Linked DNA regions of Elephas maximus indicus. The protein of the gene in region 1 interacts with the protein of each later gene in a biochemical or structural test. Links are inferred from orthologs where the notes say so. Each region holds a gene or a part of one and is shown in the gene's direction. Other genes may lie near its edges.

What was found. The genes of interacting proteins can lie anywhere in the genome.
Region 2: the proteins of CRHR1 (region 1) and MPDZ form a complex in vitro, tested with the Homo sapiens proteins (2 studies listed by BioGRID and IntAct, with this or other methods). The link is inferred for Elephas maximus indicus from reciprocal best matches to the Homo sapiens genes CRHR1 and MPDZ.

Annotation. Positions count from the first base shown.
Region 1 is NC_064837.1:52,548,044-52,551,791, forward strand, and holds the start of CRHR1 (corticotropin-releasing factor receptor 1), read left to right. Parts: upstream 1-809; 5' UTR 810-849; coding exon 850-882; intron 883-3,748.
Region 2 is NC_064827.1:23,296,428-23,300,175, reverse strand, and holds the start of MPDZ (multiple PDZ domain protein), read left to right. Parts: upstream 1-1,453; 5' UTR 1,454-1,513; coding exon 1,514-1,529; intron 1,530-3,748. UniProt on the Homo sapiens protein: Member of the NMDAR signaling complex that may play a role in control of AMPAR potentiation and synaptic plasticity in excitatory synapses. Promotes clustering of HT2RC at the cell surface.

The DNA of each region.
Region 1 (3,748 bases):
AGTATCAAAGGCTCTGGGGGTCGGGCCCTGGCGTCAGGCGCTGGCTGGAGTGGGGGCGGCGGGGACCCTCTCCTTGCCAGCGCAAGCGAGAACTGCCCAAACGCAGTTCCCAGCTTCACCCCATCTCCGCGGCGGCTCGACTCTGCTGGGCCGTCCGATTCTCCAGCTTCCAATAGCCTCACTCTCATAGACCCTTCGGAGCCCCCTAACCCTTCCCAAATTCCGTTGGACTTCCCGGGCCCGATTTCAGATAAGACGGGCGGCGGGAGGCTGCTACTTCCCCCGCCCCCCATCCTCGGCTTCTCCCTGGGCTGCGGTGGCCGCCACCGCCGCCAGCGCGTCCCGCGGACTGCCGCAAACCCGGGCCCAGGGAAAGGGGTCAGCGAGGGAGGGCGCGAGGAGGAGGCCGAGGGAAGGCAGTGGACAGAGGTGGAGGGAGGGGGCGGGAACGGAGGGGCGAGGCGCGGAGGAGGGACCAAGAGGAAGGGAGGGGACAGAGAGGGGAGGGGAAGCGCGAGGCTGGGGGCGGGGAGCCAGGCGAGAAGCCGCGCGGACCGAGGGGGAGGCGGCAGGGGCGAGGCGCGCTCGGAGCTGGCGATAAGCTGCTGCAGACTGGGGCTGAGTCGGGGAACCGCCGCGGGACTTCCCCGCGAAGGACCCAGCCAGAGCCCGCCAGGCCGGGCCGAGCTGCGGGGCCGAGGAGTGCGGCGACAAGCACCTCCGCGCGGGGCAGCGACCTGGGAGCCCCGCCGCCCACTCTGCGCCACCCTAGCTAGCAACCGCCCGCCGGCCCCTCTGTGATGTTCGAGGGACCTAGGCATCCAGGACCGTGACTGAGCGAGCCCGAGGATGGGACGGCGCCCGCAGCTCCTGCTTGTCAAGGTAGGAGCGCGCAGGGCAGCCCTCGAGCCTGGCGCCCCCGGCCGCCGGCTGGCGCGGGGCGGCTGGCAGGGGTGGATGCGGGGAGCGCGGGGCAGAGAGGTGCCCGGGTCCGGGGCAGCGGAGGTCTGAGGAGCAACCGAACTCCCGGGACCGGAGCCGGGGCTGGGTGGGTGGGGGAGCTCAGGTGAAAAAAGAAACCGTGTGGCGACACTGCCGGGATGCTGGCGGAGGAGGTTGCCCGCCCACCGGCGGGAATGGCTGGGTGCGGAGACTCGCTCCAAGCTGTGGGGGCTGAAGCTCGTTTCTACGTCCCATCCCGCCCATGCGGAGCGCGGCCATGGGATAGGAGGCTCTGGAGGTGGGTCCCCACCCTGTTCCTAGCACCCTTTTATCGGCTCCCCTACTCTGCACGCCCCAGCCTCCAGTCCTGGGACCTCCTCCCTGCCCCTTCGGCTCTGCGGAAAGCGGCAAACCCAAGGAGATTAATGTCCCTCGCGCCTCCGCCGAGCCCTTGATGGATATCGCAGCCTCCGGGGAGGGGACGGTGTCTCCAATGGTGGGGCGAGCTCCTCCGCCGCTGCTGGCCGGCCGGGAGCGGCAACCCGGGAGCGCAGCGCTTGTTCTCCGAGCCTTTGCACCGGCAGGTCCCGGCGCTGCTCCGCCGGCCGCGTCTGCTCGTTCCTGCCCCGGGCCTGGCGACGCGATTTCGGGCCCCGGAGTTTAGGAAAGTGGCCAGGTCGCACGCCTAGCGTCTGCCGGCTGAAGTTCCGGGGCGGCGGAGCCCTGCCCGCGGGCGGTGGGAGCCGACGATGGGCTGGGGGACAGACAGGCCCGCCACTAGTGACAGCCGCCGCTTCCCCGCGCGGGGCGCTTCCCAAAGCGTTTCGGCTCCCTGGGTGCAGGCACGTCTGCAGCAGCGGGCTGGAGAATGGGTGGGCCTCGGGCCATCGCCGGGGAGCCCAGCGCTGCGCTCGCCAGCTCACCGCGTTGCCGCGGATCTCGGGACTCCGCAGGGTCGGTGTGGACCCTCTGAGCCGCCAACACCAGTTAACCAGGCTTGGTGCATTTAAAAGCGATTTCATTCAAAAGAATGGAATGGATTTGGGGGAGGGGTGCGGATTGATTGAATTTTATTTTTCCATCCGTTATTAAACCAACTGTGCGTATACCGGCTCACAAAGTGGTTTCATTGAGTTAAACCACCAAGCTTTTAAAACAAATTGCTGTGGCTCAGCAGCTGAGACGTTCCCAGTTATTAAGGGTTTTCCTTTCCTCTTCCCAGCCCAAATATTTTATCAGTGGTTGTTTAAAAAAAATGACACAAGGTTGGTCAGATGGAACCCATACCTTCCCTCCCCCCCGCCTTTAGCTGAGGGCTGGGGTGAACCCAGGGAATATTTTCTGCGTGATCACCCAGACCTGGCAAGACAGGTAGAAAGAAAAATACCAGAGAGGATGAATGGATGGCATTCGATGGGAACATTTTCCAAAAAGCTCCTGTGTACCAAACCTTGGTCTAAATTCACAAATCAGACTGAATTCAATCTTTTACATGGATTCAAGGGATGGAACAAAAGCCAGTGGTTTTGTTTTGTGACCCCCCCCCCCCCCGCCCCAAGTTTACTTGGTAATAGGTAAATGTTCTTTCTCTGGCTTTTCTTAGAACTGTATTCAAATCTCTATTTATAATTATCAGGTTGTACTTCTTTCTTTTTTTATTTTTTTACCAGATAACGGGGTCTGTGCCCTTTGTGTCTGGTCTAATGAACTCAGTAGGTGCTCAATCAATGCTGACCCAATGCAGGGCAGTGAGTGAATGGAGGGTTAATGCTGGCTTCAATTCAATACTTGCTTGGTTTTTTTTTTCTTTTATTTATGTAGCATGTGCAAGTTGCAGGACAACGTTCTACCTGCATTGCAAATATTATCATTTTATCCGCATAACAGCCCTAGGAGGTAGGGAGTAAAACCCCATTTTTATAGAGGAAGAAACTGAAGTAAAGAGAGGCTAAGTAACCTCTCCGAAGCCACACAGCTAGTAATTGATGGAGTCAGAACTCAAACTCCAGCCCTAAGACTTTGTTTTGTTAGCTTTTGCCAGAAAACATTCTAAACCACTTCTGTCTCACTTTAGACCTGCACCAGATGAGAGCTCAGTTTGCTTTGTGAGTGTGAATCTAGGGAAGTTATGGAAAATCCAGAATCCGGCTCTGTCCCCAACAAAGTCTGGCTCTGTCGGCCAGTTTTGGGAAAGGATCCACTCTGGGCCTAGCTCCTTACCGGAGTCCCTGGAGGCTCGCATCCACCCGAACGTGTTTTGGAAGAAAGACCTGGTGACCTTCCTCCTAAAAATCAGCCGTCGAAAACCCAATGGAGACCAGGTCTACTCTGACACACATGGGAACGACCCAGTAGCACCTGTTTTTTTTAAAAAACACTGTACCGGTTACAGTGTACTGCGGGAGAGTGTGTGTGAGCGTGTACGCATGAGTGACAGTGTGCGTGTGTGTGAGTGTACCTGAGTGAAAGATGTGTGAGTGGGAGTGTGTATGGGAAGAGCTGCGTATGAGTGTGTACTGAGGGTACATGTGTGTGAATGCGGGAGCAAGAAGTGCTGTGAATGTGCATGAGTGCATATGTGTGCGTGAAGAAGAGGTGTGTGTGTGTTGGAGTGTGCTTGATGAGAAAGAGCTGAGAGAGATGAGTGTCAGTGAGGGGGAAGAGAGAGGTGAGATATTTTCTCGACCCCCAGGGGAGGGTTGGGGTCATCTACCCACCAGCTGCAGCTCCCCACAGGGAGACCCAAGTATGGCTCAAAATTGTGGTTCCAGTGATTGTGAGGGGCAGAGAAGGCACAGCTATGTGG
Region 2 (3,748 bases), on another chromosome or scaffold:
TTCCTGCCTATCTGGGTTTAGCATTAATCCTGAATATGTGTTATGGTTATGGGTTGTGCTGTGAGCTGGAAATAATTTAACTCATTTAGCACACTATACCCAGTGAGGAAGTTTGTTATCTATAAAACAGGTTGAGATGGCAGACCACTTGGTCAAGGTCACACTGCTATTTAGATTTGAATTCTAAGCCAGAGTCATCTTTACTTGATGGCGAAGCACTTTCTATAACAAGTGCCAATAGTTGAGCCATTTGGCTATTTGATGTTTTAATTAGTGTATTCTAAATTGGGATAAGGAAAGTCAGTAAATACTGTTCTGTATTATTACACAGAGCTAATGGATACATTGAAGTTCTGTGCCTCTGCTCATATATGTTACGTACTTCCCTTTTCCCAAATATATTCTCTTTTAAATATGTAATGTGGGGTAACTTGTTCCTTTTTGGAGAAGTTCTCTCCCTGTCTCATCATCCAGATGAAGAATGGGGATATATGGTGGTAGGTTCTTTTTCTTCCTGTTGAAGTAATGGCAGACTGACTTCCTGATGACTCACGGTTTTCTGTAAGGCAAAGGATAAGTGTTAATATGGAGACAGGTGTGGAAAGCTGTTGGACCACAAAGATGGAAGATGGACTTAGCGGTACGACCATTGCCAGTGCAGATCAGTATCTGATGCTTCAAAGAGTTCAGTTAAGTAATGTCAGAGAGAAAGATGAGACTGGTGTGGTTTGTAGGAGCTGAGAAGAATTTTTGAATGGGAAAGAGGAGAATATTATAATCATGGGGGGTATTTTGAAAAATCCTCTTCTCTAACACTGGACTCTGTTTTACTCAGTTTCTCTTCCATGATCTGGTAGTTTCGAACTGCTGACCTTTTGGTTAGCAGCCAAGCTCTTAACCTCTATGCCACCAAGGCTCGCTTCCCTGATTTAGTGTGTTATCTTCCAGTGGTTCATGCAGTGCTTGAGTGTCACAGTTCTTTCCTAATTATTATCTGTGTCTCCCCAGTTAGACTGGGAGCATTTGAGAGCAGAATTACATTGTCTTTTTTTTTACATTTTTGATCTTTTCATCCACAAAATTTCTGAAGCAGCAGTAAGCTCCTTACTGTATGGTTAAGGTTCTAAAAGTGAATCCAAGATAATAGCAGTCTATATTGAGAAGCTCTTAAGGAAATACTTTGGAAACTTCTACCGTCTTATTTAAAAAAGATTATATGCCTTGTACTTTTTTATGCAAGTATTATTCATAATTATAAGATCATTTTGAAAAAGCCCTAAAATGATTAACTTTTTTTTTCCCCTATAAAGAACATCTAAAGTTAAATCAACAAATTTTTAATGGTCAAAGGATTGCAGTAGTTATCAAGTACTTTTTAGAGTACTTAGTTTTAGAATAAAATTTTAAAGTTCTGATAAATATAACAATTTTGCTTTATTTCTTTTATTCTCAGTGGTCCATTTTAGTTGCTGTTTTTAATCATCGCAAAGAAGATAACTGAACTTTGAAAAAAATGTTGGAAACCATAGGTAAGACCTATTCCTTCCTGCTACTTTTGTAAAAATTGAAACACATTCCATAGGGATTTTGGAAATACGGTATGTTCTACATAGCAGGATTCTATCTATAGTAACTTAGTTTTAAAAAAGTTTGTATTCACCAGCATTGTACTGGGCAGTGTATGCCTGTATCTGGGCAATTTCATCGGAGGTGTTATAAAACTCATTTATAAACAAAAGTTAAAAGTGTATGAGATATTCCGTTATGGATTTTAATGAAGTTTAATGTAAACACAGTTCTGGTTAAAGTTTGTTCCTGGGTAGCACCAGATAGTTCAGCAGTATTTTTTAATTCTGGAAGAAGGTCATTACCTATGTCTTAATTTTACTTTGTTTGTGACAGGTGAAGTACTACTGGCCTTTTGATTTTAATGGATAAAGAGAACACTAACAGTCACTTAGGCTGCATCCAGGTGGACAAACTTCAGTGAAGACTTAAGGCAGTTTATTTTCTACATGAGACAATTTAGGTTGAAACACCCAAATTTTCCAAGCTCAAGTGTTAATCTTTTTTCCACACTGCTGTCTAGTTTAAGAGGAACTAATTTCTAGAGAAATTAGTTACAGGTATATCAGGTGTGTAAAATCATGTGACACCTCAGTCCCTCACCTGTTCCAGATAACTCTAGCTATGACTATGGCAGGATGTATGGATTTCACTCTGGCAACTTGACGGTCACGGCTGGTACCATGATAGCTGAAGTGCTGAGGGGTAGGGTGAGAGTAGATGGCAATGAAGGGAGAAGAAGCTGGCTTTGTCATCATGGGGACCGTTACTGTGACTCTGTTCCCAATACCATGCTGGCGATGAAAATGCAGGGACACACATTTCCTTCATCACTTGTTTTATGCTGAAGTCATACAGCATAAAGAATACTAGTCCACAGAGGAAAGTTACTTGAAGTGGAAAGGAGAGGGCAAATATAAAACTATTTAAACCATTTCTTTCTAGTCTTTATTCTGTTACTGAGTTGGACACCTCCGCAAAATTGACATGCGGATTAATATTAGATTTGCATCCTGAGATACCGTGGGAAATATGACCCAGAATAAAATTCTTATGTATATCTTTATCATTTTTGGCTTTTAAAATTTTGTGTATTAGTAAATATTTTTTTCTTTTAATTTACATGCATGAGAACTCATCATTAACATCAATACGTGTCTTTGTTTTCCCCATTTCTGCGTAGCTCCAGATTTCATGTTATGGAAAGTGTCTTTGGTGATAATTCCCACTCTTATCCCTTACTGTGATATGGCAGATATTTTAATAGATGCACTTGTTATTATAAATCTATCAGGACATGTATCTAAATAGAGCCCCCTCCTCTTTTTTTCAAACAAATCTGGTCTCACTTATAAGTGTGTGTGTGTGTGTGTATGTTTTAGGGCGATGCTTTTAACTATTGTTTGTGGTGGAAACTCACTGTGGAGAAAGCATGCCTACAAGATGCTAGGACTGTTAGGGACACACATATTCAAAACCTTTACTTGTGGAACCCTGGGCCTGATCCATAAGGTGATTAATAGATATTTGGGTTGCGTTAGTTTGATGCATATGTTAATATGCTATTTAATTTTGGGGAAAGACATTTAAAGTTTTCAAAAATAGTTTTTTTTCAAACAATATGTATATTGTGCTGTATTTCCAAGCAAATTCTCATTACAGAATGTTTTGTCCTATAGTATATGAAATTGTTATATTTTGGAGATTGTGCCGTGTCAGTGACATTATCCATACCTGGAAACCCTGGTGGCGTAGTGTTTAAGTGCTACAGCTGCTAACCGAAGGGTTGGCAGTTCGAAACTGCCAGGCGCCCCTTGGAAACTCTGTGGGGCAGTTCTACTCTGCCCTATAGGGTCGCTATGAGTCGGAATCGACTCGACGGTACTGGGTTTTATTATCCATACCAATTTATTGGTGAGGTAGTTATATTTCTAATTTCCCTTATATTTGAATACAAAATTTAAAAAAGGGAAAATGTCAGTATTTGCAAGATCACAGAACATTTGGCTTTATATAGATTTTATAAAAGAGCTGAGATAGGTGACGTTAGAATTCCAGTACATTTCAACTGAATTAGTTTCCGAACTTTACAACTACTTGCATATGGCAGATGCTAAACCAAGTTCCCTGCTTTCAAACAAACTTTCTTACAAGAGACTTAAAGGTGTGAGGGACATATTTA